Linked DNA regions of Pelodiscus sinensis. The protein of the gene in region 1 interacts with the protein of each later gene in a biochemical or structural test. Links are inferred from orthologs where the notes say so. Each region holds a gene or a part of one and is shown on either strand. Other genes may lie near its edges.

What was found.
Region 2: the proteins of EPS15 (region 1) and FCHO1 form a complex in vitro, tested with the Homo sapiens proteins (2 studies listed by BioGRID). The link is inferred for Pelodiscus sinensis from reciprocal best matches to the Homo sapiens genes EPS15 and FCHO1.

What each region holds. Positions count from the first base shown.
Region 1 is NC_134719.1:8,705,507-8,712,989, forward strand, and holds the start of EPS15 (epidermal growth factor receptor substrate 15), read right to left. Parts: upstream 3,045-7,483; 5' UTR 2,007-3,044; coding exon 1,908-2,006; intron 1,395-1,907; coding exon 1,305-1,394; intron 1-1,304. UniProt on the Homo sapiens protein: Involved in cell growth regulation. May be involved in the regulation of mitogenic signals and control of cell proliferation. Involved in the internalization of ligand-inducible receptors of the receptor tyrosine kinase (RTK) type, in particular EGFR.
Region 2 is NC_134729.1:17,886,729-17,893,728, reverse strand, and holds the start of FCHO1 (F-BAR domain only protein 1), read right to left. Parts: upstream 3,044-7,000; 5' UTR 2,838-3,043; coding exon 2,725-2,837; intron 2,636-2,724; coding exon 2,565-2,635; intron 48-2,564; coding exon 1-47. UniProt on the Homo sapiens protein: Functions in an early step of clathrin-mediated endocytosis. Has both a membrane binding/bending activity and the ability to recruit proteins essential to the formation of functional clathrin-coated pits.

The DNA.
Region 1 (7,483 bases):
GATTCATCACCCACAAAGGATGGTGCAGATTTGGGAATCTCTCTAATGTCCTCAGCAGTGAAGACTGAAGCAAAGAAATCATTTAGTTTAACCGCAATGGCTTTATCGTCCTTGATTGCTCTTTTTATATCTCGATTGTCTAGGGAACCCACAGGTTTGTTAGAAGGCTTCCTGCTTCTAATATACTTAAAAACATTTTGTTATTTCTTTTTCAGCTTTTGGCTAACTGTTCCTCAAAATCTTTTTTGCTTTTCTTACTACATTTTTACACTTGATTTGACAGTGTTTATGTTCCTTTCTATTTATCTCACTAGGATTGGACTTCCACTTCTTAAAATATGCCTTCTTGTTCCTCACTGCTTCTTTTACATGGTGGTTAAGCCACGGTGACTCTTTTTTAGGTCTCTTGCTATGTTTTTTAATTTGGGGTATACATTTAAGTTGGGCCTCTATTATAGGGTCATTAAAAAGTTTCCATGCAGCTTGCAGGGATTTGGCACTAGTCATTGTGCCTTTTCATTTCTGTTTAACTAACCTCCTCCTTATTCCATATTCTTTGAAAGACCACCGAGCTCAATATTTTAAAATATAAATATAACAGATTTGTAAAAATGTATAGTCTATATATTAAATATTTAAACAAAAACTCACAGTTCATTTTATTTACTCAATCCACCAGACAACATTTAGGATAAATACAAATCTGTCAACAGTTTAGAAATCATGGAATTACGGTCACTACTCTGTCCTTATTTTTCCATGTATTATAGAAACTTGATCAGTTATAGCTAAAGGAAAAGAAACAGTCATATTTTATAACTCAAGTGCCTGCATAACTTACCTAAAAAAAGGTTATAATATAGTTTTATCATCATGTATAAAATGTTAGGTAGAGTTCCAGATGACCATAAATGTCCTTAGAATAAGTATTTTATACCATTTACAATAAAGACTTTGTGAGTTCTGTATCTGAGTTCTGTCACTTATTGGCTATGTGGCCAAATATATACTTAATATGAAGAGCAAAGCACCTCAATGCTGACTCAAGTACTCAGTATTTATAGAATCAAACCCTAATCCTCATAGCATAACTTGCACAGTAAGTACAATATTATTTATCCACTGAGGTTGTAAGGTTCACTGATTTTGAAGTATTTTGTATGAAAGGTGCAATATATAAAAGCAAAATTACATATTGTATACTAGCATTTTGTACACACATGTATAGTATTTCTGAAAGGAAACTGTAACAGGAATAGACAGCATAATTGAAGGCATAATGTTACTCATTAAATAATTAATACCTTTCCAAGTATCAAGTCTGTCAGCCCAGATTTTTTCAAGAAAGCAGCAGCATCAGAAGCCACCACTCTTCCAGTGTTACTAGAATCAACCTGTGAAAGATACCACCACTGATTAGTACCCAGAACTGCTACAAAATACACATTCTTAATCAGCAGGCTACCAGAGAAGAATGCCCCCCCTCTCTCTTTTGAATTCTAAAGCAACTAAATTCTCTTCGGTGTATTTTAACAGCTTCCTTTCAAAATAAATGCATTTTACATTAGAACAGATGCATTTTAAAGCGGGTGCTAGAATGAATCCACTATTTTTCTTAAACTTAACCTAACTATAAAATATTATCCACACTTTGTACTCAGGAGTTAATGCAAGGGAATGAAATATTTTTACATTAATTTTTATTTATAAACATACAGAAATGTATCTATTTAATACAGGTTGAACCTCTCTAATCCAGAACTCTCTGGTCCAGCAACATCTGTGGTCTGCCAGGAGTAGCATTCAAGATTTTTCAACCTTTAATTACACTTGAGTTTTAAGGTCTTCAACAAAAGGTACAGGATTTCAAGTATACATCTGAGCAATACTCAAATAAATCAATGTACAATAAAGATCTTATCTGGATGAGACCACCACATGATTCTCTTCCAATCAGTTCTTCCCAATTGCAGATTTTCTCCTTTAGTAACTCCTTTAGTAACCATGCCTTCAAAGCATCAGACTTATATGTACATACCAAAATCCTCAGGAGGTAGGTTAAGCTTAATGGAGTAGTTCAGAGTTCATTACTAATATGCCCTGGAAAAGTCTGCAATGTCAACTTTTCCTGTCCTGAAGGAAACGGCATATCCAGGAAGTCAATGATAATGTTGGCAAGGCACTTAGGTACAAGATTGCATTTTCCCACATTTACAGAGCGGTACCTAGGACTGGATGTGACCTCATCTCCCGAGGGAACAAAACGTTCATAGCCAAATATCAGATGGAAAAGAATAAACTGCAAGCTTTGAGTGTCTGTAAAGTACCAACCACATGAAATTATAGCGGCCTAGCTACAAAAATTCAAGAAGGAGAGATTAATATCTCCTTTGTTTTGGTCTTTGACAAGACAATTACTGATGTTCTTTTGATCGTACCTGTTTTTTTGAGGCTGGCAGACAAGATGCCACCTTATGACAAGGCCCAGGGGCTTCACTGAACAATGACAAACAGAAGTGCTTTTGGGCAGCTTCGTTTGATCCATCAGCTGCGACCCTTCCTGAACAAGCATGAATTGGCAACAGCGATCCACGCTCTTGTTACATCCCAACAGGATTAGTGTAATGCACTTTATATGGGGCTGCCTCTAAAGAACCTTCGGAAACGTCAACTGGTCCAGAATCTTAAGACTGCTCGAATCTTAACTAATACTCGTTATATAGAGCACATTATGCCAGTGCTTCAGCAGCTGCACTGGCTTCTAGTATGTTTCCGGGCACACTTTAAGGTTTTAGTCACGATCGATAAAGCCTTAAAAGAGTTGGGTCCGGGGTATCTGAAGGACCGTCTTCTCCCATATGAACCTGCCCAGAGATTGAGGTCAGCTGGGGAGGCTTTGCTTCATGTTCCCCCACTTGTGGAGATAAGATTAACATTTGTGCAGAACAGGGCCTTCTCAGCTTTTGTTCCCAGACTGTGGAATTCTCTTCCTCGGGATATTCTCATGGCACTAACACTAACATTGTTTCGGTGTCAGGCTAAAGCCACCCTTTTTACTCGTGCTTTTATTAATGTTTGAGTCTGTATGTGTGTGTTTCTCTTCTCTATATGTTTTTAGCACATTTTATGTCCCTCTGGAGTCTTATATTTTAAATTTTTATATATATTTGTATTGTGTTTAAACAGTTTTTTATAAGTCGCCTTGAATATTTTAAATAGAGAGGCAGGGTAAAAATATTTAAATAAAATAAAATAAAATAAAATAAAATAAAATAAAATAAAGTCTGGGTCACCTGTGTGTTAGTATTGTTAAAAATAACATCAGAATTATAGGAATGTGTTTAGATTTCATGAAAAGTTTCTAGAGGTCTGCATGTATTTCACCTTATAAATATTACTAGAAGATGTATTCAGCCTTGCTCTGGTCTATAACGGAAGAGGTGAGGTTTTTTAGGAAAAAGAAACGAAAATGTATTATTTCAATGATATTTCAAAAATGAAGGCAGGCGTGAGAGATCAAGGGTGAGGAGAGGCAGAGTGGCAGACGTTTGGGAGATATGGGGAGGGCTCAGGATAGGAGGAGGGGATGCTAAAAAGTCAAGGCAGGTAGGAGTCAGAGCTGGGAAATGGGGAGGGCTTACCAGGGCCACCCATGGCAGCAAGGGCAGCACTGCTCTGGTGGCAACTCCTTCCGGGGGGCCGTGGCAGCACTCCCCTGCCAGCAAGCCCCGCAACTGTCCTCCCCCACAGCCTATCGGGAAGAAGCGAGGCCCTCTCATGCAGCAACACTGCGGCAGCCTGCAGCCACCAGCCTATAGTTTGTTGGGGGTTGAGGCTCGGGGGACTTTCCCCCTTCATCTAACCCCCACCCGCATATATTCCCCTGTGGCCTACAGGCTGCCTGTAGAGGAGCCAGGCTGTGGGGATGCCCTCACCTTCAGCGCCCTCCCCATGCCCTGAGGTCTCTCCATGATGGAGTGTGGGGACAGGCTCCAGGTTTGAGGTGGGGGGCTCCTTACCAGTGTGTTGGCAGGCAAGAAGGCAGAATCCAAGCCCTTCTGGCCATTTTCTTGGCGCGGCAGATACCACCAGTAGCTGCTCTCAGTATCACGTCCCTCCTCTCTGTGCCCCTCCCTTTCACGTTCTTCCTCTCTCTGTCCCCTCCCTTTCCATGTTACGGGAAATAGTCCCATTCCCAGAACTTTCCATTTTCCAAGCACAATCAAACCCTGACCTTGGTTTAAGTTAGGGTAAGAGGAAGCTGCATATCAAATTTCATAGTCATAGCTCTTATGAGGAGGAGTTCTTGAACAAACGGGCAGACACTCTCTAAAATACATATACAGATAACAAGGGGTACATTAAGGATTTGTTCTTGAAGCACAAAAATGTTTGCTAAAAACCGTAAAACTTCAGTCACGAAAGAAGCATTACCAAACGTAAAATATTAGTTTGCCACAAGAGGTCTCATCTACTCCCCGGAAAAAGGCGGCATATATTGACACAAATAAAATCATAGTAAAGCGCATCAGTGAACAAAAGACTGCATTGATTGCTTCCCCACATCCATGAAGCAGATATGTACAAAAGCACTCATCCTATAATTGCCTGAACAGTGGGGGAATGCATAAAAATCTGTGTCAAGGAGAAATTAACATTATACTGCCTGGAATTTGGAGATGGCACATTTCCAATCATAACCAAAGGATCCCTTAGTTGCTTAGCCCTGAAGAGTTTACATATTACAAGAGCTTCTATTATCTTTTGTAGTTAGTTTAATCACAGGACTGGCTTCAAACATTATCTTTGGTAACAGATCTAAGAGTAAACTAATGTGGAGTAATGGACAGATCCTCTGGTACTGGGAGTAGCATGACTATTATTGTGGTTTTTTTGGTGAAACGGACCATCTGCTACAAAGGCAAACTTGCCTGGGTGGCAAGCTATACAAGAGAGACCAAAGAAATTGTCTGTGGTTTCATGTTAAAATTGTCAGAGTGCTTTAGACGTTCACACTTGTTATCTGGTTGGTGAAATTTAATTATAGAACATACAATCAGTTTGAGGTTTGGACTTTGTTTCTTGACATTCTGCCTTGAGGTTAGATCTCATGCTCATGAGCTACTCTAGACAGCTCAACAATTTTAGCTAGCTCTTTTATACCAAGTAAGAAGAAGTACAGGGAGGATTTCAAGAAAGTCTTTCATTTTATCAAGCTGACTCAGCTTAAGTTAGTAATGGAAAATCTTAAAGTAAAGCCACATAAAAACTTATTTAGCATGATTGCTTTAGTTATCGTAGGCAAAATTTGTATGCACCATCTTCCCAGATTTCAATCCATCAGAAGATCACTAAGAAAAAACAAGCTCTCAACTTCATCATATTTACAGATACACCAGACAGTATACTGTACTGGCCTTCACTGTTTCTGTAAAGGATCAAATGTAATCCTGCATTTCACATGTAATCGTCTACAAAAACAAACTCATTATGTTTATCATAGATTGTAATGCCCTGAAATTCTGAAGGATTTGACAGCTATTACAAGCAATATAAAGGATAGAGAAAAATAAAATGAGGACACTTTTGCTTTCAGCCCCTCTTTAAAGTCCAAGATTGATCAGAAGCTGATCAAGCAAAATAATGAAAATGGAAAAGAATGCTGTGTGATGGAATTAAATTAATATCCTAAATTAATTTGGCCAATACTTTAAAACATTAATTCCAGAGGCAGAAAGGGCATTTACTAATCCCAACCAGGTTCTTTTTAATCTGTTGAGTTGATCAGTCAAGTGTAATTTTCACAAAATATTACGATTTGTAGTTCTCCAGGGAATAAATTGACAACGGTTAATGAGAAGTTATGCTAGAGATAAGCATTTTGAAGCACACTATTGAATTTTCTCTAATATGTTCTTTCTTAGATTGGTAAGTATCTACAGGCTTTTGGATTGTCTTTTGAAGCCAAGGGTGAGATGATATTGTCTTGCAAAACCAATGGACAATTCTCCCTGTTTAAGGGATTAACAGAACATTTGAGGTATTCAGAGCACTACACACGCCTAAAGACATTTATAGAATTCACTGACAAAAGCCTTGATAAAAATGCCATTTGGAAAATATATTGGAACAGGTTCACCTTCATGTGTTCATATTTTCACTTCTAGTGGTAATTTTTGTTCTCTAGCAAACTCAGCAAGATTTTACAGGCTGGAAGCAACTACTGTGAATTTGCGATTTAGTGAAAGTCTGAAGTTGAATGAAGTTTTTACCAGAACTCTACATATCGCCTGAGTTTATCATCAGTACTTTTATTTCTTACAGTAGTGGGCTCAATATTCAGGGATTTAATGGGATGGTATACTTGTGCAAGCTTATGGTTGTCTTTTTTTTCCCTCTCCCTCTTTAAAACCACTAGTATGTTATAAGGAGCTCTCTGCAATGTGCAACTAATGCAACTGTAGTGTCAAATACAGCCTCATTTTATACTCAGTGGGTCCTCATGTAGTTTTGGCATCCATTCAGAAAAGAGCTGGTGGATCAATGTTCTTCCACTATTCAAGGAAACCCCAGAGTTATATTGAGTCAGCATTGTCTATTTTTAAATCTTCAACTCTATCCTCTAGGAAGATCATTTTTTGAGGAGTGAAGACAGGTGACTGTCATTTGAATGGATTCTGACAAGGTTACTTTTTTGTTCCCCGATGTTAGGCTCATTTCAGAATAAGCTTTCCATTCAATTAGTTTTAGATTTAGATTGCAGGGAATTACCGGGTGTATGGCTCAGGTGTTTTGACCATTTCCCTGATTTGCTCTCACTGTTTTCATGTTTAGCGTCCTGAGAGTATGGTTATCAAAGCTATCTTCAGTAATATTAAAAAGGATTTTTTTTAGATTTAAAGAGATACAGATACATTTGATTTAAATCATTAGAATGTAGAAAAATAGTACTTGGAATGCGAATACTATTTCAACTAGAAAAAAATTCAACTAGAAGCTCAGAAACATTGCTTAGATACTATCCTGAATGACATCACTTCATGGATTTCATTTTTTTAAATCACTTCTAATTTGTAAATTTCCAAGTTACATCTCTCTAATGGGAGATATTTGTCCTAACCACATCATGCCAGAGATATTCCAGTTGAGTTTGATAAGACATGACTCGGACAGGAATTAGAAGGGAGTGTGTGCTGGAGATGTGCCCAGCTCTCACAGTAAATATCAGGTAGTTTGACTTGCTGCTCTGCATCTGTTTCACAGGTATGCAAGCTTGGACGACTATAATCTTTTGAATGGACTCTGTGGCAATTCTTCCACATTAGGCAAAAAAGTAGCAATATTCACGTATGCTCCTCTGGTTTCATCTAAAAAGCTGTCTCTGAAATTCAGGACACTAAGCAGTTTCCCGACATTTCACTTCATTAAGAAAATCATCATAATCAATGAGCTTAGAAATAAAACACTCAATCGTGATTGCAAT
Region 2 (7,000 bases), on another chromosome or scaffold:
CATCTTGGAGCTGGGCCGACACCCCCCGCCGCTCAGGTGGCCGGCCTCTGGACAAACACAGACACGGGGTGAGGCCGAGGCAGGCTGCTCCCTGCCACGCCCCAGGGGGGCACCGTGGGACGGAGGGGGGCTCCGCTCGGGGAGGGGACACATCACCCCCCCCGGGTGGGAACATTCCTGAGCTGCTAGAGGGGCGCTGGGACACCTGGGTTCCAACCCCAACTCCAGGAGGACACGGAGGGAGCTGGGATGCCTCCGTTCTCTGGAATTGTTCAGGCTTCTGGTGCCTCAGTTTCCCCACTCCCAAGCCGGGAGCCGATTTGCTATGTGAAGCCTTCCTCTCAAGGCACAGCGCCTCTCACGAGACCGGAGTTTCCCTCTCATATTCTGCCACCGACTCCCTGCATGAGGCAGGGCAGCCCCGTGCCTCAGTTTCCCCTCCTCAAAGCGGGGCCCAGCCCGCCGCCCGTCGGTCCCCGCAGGCTAGCGGGGATAGGCCCTCGTGGCCTGGCGGTGCTTCGGGGGGCAGAGCGACTCGCGTTTCTTTTAAAACACGAAGCAGCTCGCAGATCCATGCGGCTGTTACCATGGAAACAGGCTGCTCTTTCTATCCCACAGTCGCGGGAGCCAGGAGAGCGGCGGTGCCGGCATAGGCTGTTCACACCCGCCGAGGGCCGACAACACCGGGCCTGGCACCAAACACCCTCCCGTCCCACTCCCCTGGGTGGCTTTCCCCAAACCCAGGGGGTTCTGGATCCTGGATCCGGCCCCCCCCACACAGGGATGGTTCCCTCAGGCTGGCCCGAGCCGGCACAGAGGAGAGGCGAGAGGAACGCGACCAGGTGCTGACACCGGATAGGCAGCTGAATAATGAACGAGGCTGTGCCGTGCTCCTCCGGCACCTCCTCCCGCCCCGTCGGCGCACCCTGCAGGCAGCTGCTCACCACATCCCCCGCACGCGCCGGGCGCGTTTCCCTGTGGGGAAACTGAGGCACAGAGGCGGGCGCTGCCCAAGGCTGCAGAACGACTCGGAAACGGCAACAGAACCAAGGAGTCTAGCTCCCCATCCTCTCCCCCAGCCTCGTGCGAGCAGGTGGCGGAGTCTCCCGCGCCGCGCCGGAGGCTGATCCTGGCAGAAACCACCAAGGTCGGAGACCTCCTAGACTACAACAGGGGGGACTGGGTGGATCTCTCCACCCTCCGAACCCCCCTGCACCTACCCCCCTTGCCGCGGCCCACTCTCGATCTCCTACAGAGCCCTGTGTGAGGGGACGCCCTGCCCCTCCCTTCCCGCAAACCCTCCGTCCCTTCTTATTGGCCCCTCTTCCGTGGGCCCCCCCAGCCTCCCCATCCCTGGACCCCCAGCCGGCTGGCTTTCGAACCGCGCCTAGAGAACATCTGCACACGCTCGTGCTCCGTACTCTGCATCCCCCCCTCGTGCCCCGCCCCGATACCAAGGGCAGGGCTACCTAAGACCCGTTGAGGATGGGGGACCCTGATGTGCCCGTGTGTATTCTGCCTTAATCCCGCAGCCCATCGGGGACACTAGCTGGCTGCTCCTCCATGGGGCCGTGAGCACGGGCGTGTACTTGGCGCGGTTCACCCCCATCCTGGACGCCTGCCCCTTGTGTGGCGTGAGGGAAACACTGGCGCACACCTACCTCGAATGCGCCAGGTAGCGGCGCCTAGTCCGGCTCCTCCAGAACCTCTTATTAAGGTTCTGGCTGCACTTTTCCCTTCCCCTCTTTATCTACGCACACCCCATCCGGGCCCCACAAGGGCGCAGGACCTCCTCGCCGGCCTCCTCCTGGCTGTAGCCAACCGCCGGCTAGAACACCAGGAGGGGGATCCTGGACGAGGGGATCCCTGCGACTGGGGGGCCTATTTCCGTTCCTCCCTCGTGGCACGTATCCGGCAGAGTTCCTCTGGGCAGCGTCCACTGGCTCCAGTCACAGCGTTGAGGAGCAGCGGGCGCTGGCCGGGGTTCTCTGCTCGGTGTCCCCAGCTGGCTCCCTTGTTTTGAACCTGTGACCAGCACCCCTCCTTTTAGTCATCATTGGTCCCCAGTACTCAGCGGAGCCTGGGACGTTATCCCTCCCTCCCCATGGGCTCCCGCGGGAGCCCACTCCCTTCTCAGCCCCCAGGAATCCCGGCTGCCCCCGCCGGTCCCCAGCTCAGAGGGGTCCCTGGGACACACGAGGGGAGGCTCGTGAAGCCCCTCGGCCCCTAGTGCTCTCGCTCACGGCGGGGTAGGGGGACGCACCTGCCTGGCCTCTAACCAGACCCTGCGTCACCTGCTCCTGGAGTCTCTGGCTCCCCGCATGGCACCGCTGCTGGGCGGGGGGGACCAGCCCCGGCCCCCCCCAACTCATTCACCCGCTCCCCGACCTGCCCCTCCCCCTCCCTGCAAGAGTGAAAAACAGGAAACTGGGAAATCTTTGCGCGCTCAATTTTTCTAGTCTCTCGGGGCCCGGGGTTGGGGGACCAGCAGCCACCGCTGGGTTCTAGCCCCGGCCCCATCTGCAACCAAGGCAGCCCCCCCGCCCCAGGGCCACCGGACTCACCCAGCACTGAGGGGCGCCCGGTCCCGGCTGGCTCATGCTCAGCTCTGTCCTCCTGGCGAGGGGACCCAGCCCTGTCAAGAGAGAGAAACCAGAAGTCGGCACAGTGCTACTTCCGCTGCAGGGGCCCGAGGGAGGGGGGCGGGGGGAGTGGAACCAGCACCTGTGAGGGCCAGCTCCCTCCCTGTGCCGCTGGCCCAGCCTGGTGCTACAGCCCCTCCTCTGCCCTGGCGGGCACAGGCCTGACACAAGTGCGCAGCCGTCAGCGTGGGGCATTTCCCAAACCGGCGCTCTGCACACGCCACCTCCCGCCCACGGGGCTCCGGGCACGTTGGAAAGGAGAATGATGAGAGGAAACTGAGGCACGAAGGGACCGTGACTGGCCTGAGTCACCCAGCGGAGCTGGGAATAGAACTCAGAGCTCTCGAGTCCCCAGGACCAAAGCTCTACCCATTAGGCCCTGCTGTCTCTGGCCTAGTCATGTTCTCGCCCGGCCTGCCCCCCCCCCCCCATCCGCTCTCCGTGAGGCACCCGGGGGCGCTGCCAGTCCTGTCTCCCCACAGCAGCCTCCCGCCTAACCCGCCAGGGCGACCCACACAGGAGCGGGGCAGAGTCCACTCCGGGAGAAAGGACGCAGAGTGGAAATCGATCAATCCCGCCTCCCTGCGGGCTCATGACAGCACGGGGCTGGCATCCAACAGCCAAGCAGAGGGGATAACCCCAGCATCCCACTTTCCTGACGTCCCATGGTGCCTGGCTCCCGCGCAGCCCCCCCCCCCCCGCCCTCCGGGGTGGCCAGGATCGCCAGCTCCCCACCCCTACCTGGAGGGCGCTGCCCCAACCAACGGGTTCGGATTTCTACAGCCGCCCCCGCTTGGTCGCGCTGAGGCCGAACATGATCCCTGCTTGGCGGTGAAAGGCAGCCACCTCTGGGACGGAACGCGGCAGCTGCAGAACCACCCACAGCAACGCACCTCATGCAGGTAACAGGCAGGCAGGCTGGGATGGCCCCAGCCCCCAAATGCTGCAGAGGTGCAGCAGGCACCTCAGAGCGCTGGCGCCACCCCTGCCAGCAGACACGGGCCGCACGACAGGGAGCCGACGAATCCAAAGGCCCCAGCAGCCCTGGCCACACGGGTGCCCCGAGACAGGTGCCACCCGCTGCCAGGATCCGCATGGCAGGGCTGCAAATGCAGCCCACCCCCCTGCAGCCATGGCGGGTGCTAGGGGGCTGCGGGTCAGCGTTGAGGGGGGGCCCAGCCCTGCAAGGTGGGGGGGGCTCCGTTCGACCTGCCGCAGAGGGAGGCTTGGGACAATGCCCACCCGCCCTGCCAATCGCTCCATTTCCCAAGCGCTAAAATTAACCCTCCGAGGGTGGCAACGCCCAGAGCAAACTGGGAACGGGGCGCAGCCTGGCCCCGCTGGGCCCCGGGGAGCCGTCAGGCCTGGGACAGGGCCCCCGAGCTGGCCAGGGAACACCCGGGGCTGGCATTTAAACAGGAAAAGCCTGGGCAGGGAGCAGCCTTCCGCTTGGGAACATCCCCCCGTCACCCGCTGCCTCCCTGCCCCTCTCGGCAGCAGGCCCCCCACCCCGCATGCTGCTCACCCCAGGCCTGGCCCCACCGCAGGCGTCCAGCAACTTGCAGGGCACCTGGGTCTGGAGGAGCTGGCTTGCGAGAGCCCGTGTGTCACCCCAGTGTCCCTCTGCCCCGGATGCCCACCCCATGCCTCCGGGCAGCGGCAGAGGGGGTGCTCCTGGGAGAGAGAGGGGGATCCTGTCTTACAGAGCCGAGGGGGGGGTGCCTCAGTCTCTCCCCCCCCCCGGGGCCTGCTCAAATGGAGACATTGCTTGCCAGCCTGGCCCAGAGTTTTACCCAAGAAGGGACACATCCCCTGGCTCCTTTCGTGCCCACCTTCCCCCGGCTCCGAGAGGTACCCCCACCCGGCACCCCACACCCAGGCCCCAGCGGAACCGAGAAGCCACAAGCTCGCTCAGGGCCATGGAGCCGGGTGAGAAAGGGACCCAGCGAGCAGGCACTGGGTCCAAAGCCCGCAGGCTGGGCCCGGGGAAGCTGGCCAGGCTCTCACCCGTGTCACCAGGCTCCTGAACTCCCCCCTGGCCTGGGGCCAGAACTGCAAACTGCCACACCCCCCCCAGGGCACTGACCCCCTGCTGGCTACCCGGGTGCCCGAGGAGCAACTCCCCCCCCCCGGCCAAGGCAAGGCCAGAGGCACCTGCCCCTCGCAGATCTCCTGTAGCTTTCCTAGGCCTCACCACCCAGCGAGGGAAACTGAGGCACCAAGCCACCCAGCTCCTAGAGGCCTCACTCCTCCTGCCACCAGACTCCTGCCAGGGCTGCGTTTGGCCCCGCTAAGGTGAAGTAACGGCTGAACTCGCTCCGGGCCTGGAACGGTATCCAGGAGTCTTCCCCCCACCCCACATGCTCTGATCTCTAGGGCACAGGAATCCCGACCCCCAGCGCCCCCGATCCCTCAGCCCCTGCTCTAGGCACAGGAGCGCCCCCTCCTCCCAGCCAAACACGTCTGCCACCGGGAGAGGTCCCCGGCTCCCGGATCAGCCCAGGAGGGGCGGCGGAGCTGGGGAAGGAATTCTGCACTCCCAGCTAGCAACAGACGCCGTGCTCCCCGGGGTCACTCCAGGCCAGGCTGCCACCAGGCGAAGCCGAATGCCGGAGGGAGAGGCGCAGGGCTGGGCCCACGGGGCCCCAGGCTTGGCAGGAACCAGGCGATGCGCCGAGGCCGAGCAACGCACCAACAAACAACGCACGTCAGTGTCAGCCGCCCGGCGCTGCCAGCACCTCCCGCCGAGCCGCAGGCAAGGAGCAGAAACCAGGCCTGCGTCTCCCCCCTTCCCGGAGCAGCTGCCAAACCTCCCCGGGCAACTAGTCCCCCGGCAAACGCGCATCAACCCGACCGGCGCAGGGCCCTGCCCCGCCCATGCAGCTTCAGGCGCCGGCAGGGCAGGTCCGCCCTGGCCTGGAGCCGGGCCCAGGGAGACGCTGCGATAGGAGAACGCGCCCGGCGCTGAGCCGGTCCCCCCTCGCCTGCCCTCCGGTGCGGTGGGAGCAAGCGGCCCCCGAAGCTTTCAACCCAGCCCAGCAACAGACCCACACGAGGCGCTTTGAGGCTTCAGAACTGGCCTGGAAACTCAGCGGAGGGGAGGAGGGTGCAAGGGGTGGCAAGCTAGCCCTCTGTTAGCAGCCGTGGTGGGTCTGGGCGCCACCGGGTACCACGCTGCCAGCCTAGGGCTACAGCAAGGGTGCCAGGCCTGCAGAGTGAGCAACGTCGCCCTCTAGCGGCCGGTGCCGGGAGGATAACGCTCTACTACTGCTGCCGCCTTTTACCCGCTTCGGTTCACTCTGGTCTGTGCTGAAGACGGCAGGTTCGAATCCTGCCGGGGCCTGCACCAGAGCCGGCACGAGCCAGGATGGGAGAGGAGCAGGGCAGGGCAGGGAGCGCGATGCCAGCCCCGCCCATGTGAAGCGCCAGCCCCAGGCTCCAGACACACTGCGGGCTCTCAAAGGGTCCCCGTGCACCAAGAGGACAGAGCAGAAGCCGACCCCAAGGAATGAAACATGCAAGAAGGCAAACGCAGCACCCCCTCCCCTCCCCTCCCCCCCCCCACACACCCCAGCCCTGCATCATGGGGAGCGATGCAGCCACCCACGAGCCCCCTGGCAAACAGCCCAGCCCGGCACGGTGCTGAGAGGCCGCCCACAAGCCACATCCCCCCAGCGCCCCGCGTCAGCGGTGTCGTGCGGCGGGGGCTTCCAGGGGTGGGGCTGACGCCAGGGCCCCCGCACAGCTAACCGGCGCCTCTGAAGAGCGCTTAGCCAGCGGGCGCGTTCGGGGCTGCACCCGCCCCCCCACGCGCCCCTCAAGCTGCCGCCGCGCAGTTGCTCAGGTGTCAACGGAGACAAGGGCTGGCGAAGACGGTTACCCTCCCCCGCCCCTCGCACTCCCCACCAGGCAAAATCCTGCTGGATCCTCACTGCCCGAGCCAGGTGGAGGGGCGACCGCTCACCCCACATGGCCTAACCCCGCACGCTGCAGCCCCAAGGCGCCCCAGGGGCAGACGGCAGGTGCACGGCTCCGGCTCCCCATCCCGTGACCTTCACCGGAGAGCAGGGACGCCCGCCCCCCACCTGTGGGGCTGGGAGATTTCAGGCAGGTGGCTCGGCGGGGGCAGGAAGTGAGTCCGGGAGGAGGGGTGGGGGGAGGGCACGGAGGACTCTGCAAAACCCATTCCAAGCGCCTTCCCAGCAAAGGGTGCACCTGCCCGCTCCCCCCCCATCCCGCCTCCCCAACACCTGGCCAGGCTCGCCCCCCCCCCCTTTTGCAAATGACAAACACTGCATTTTCTCAGGCACGGGGGGGGGGGGGATGATTGCGAGGCGGATCTGCCACCACCCCCGGGC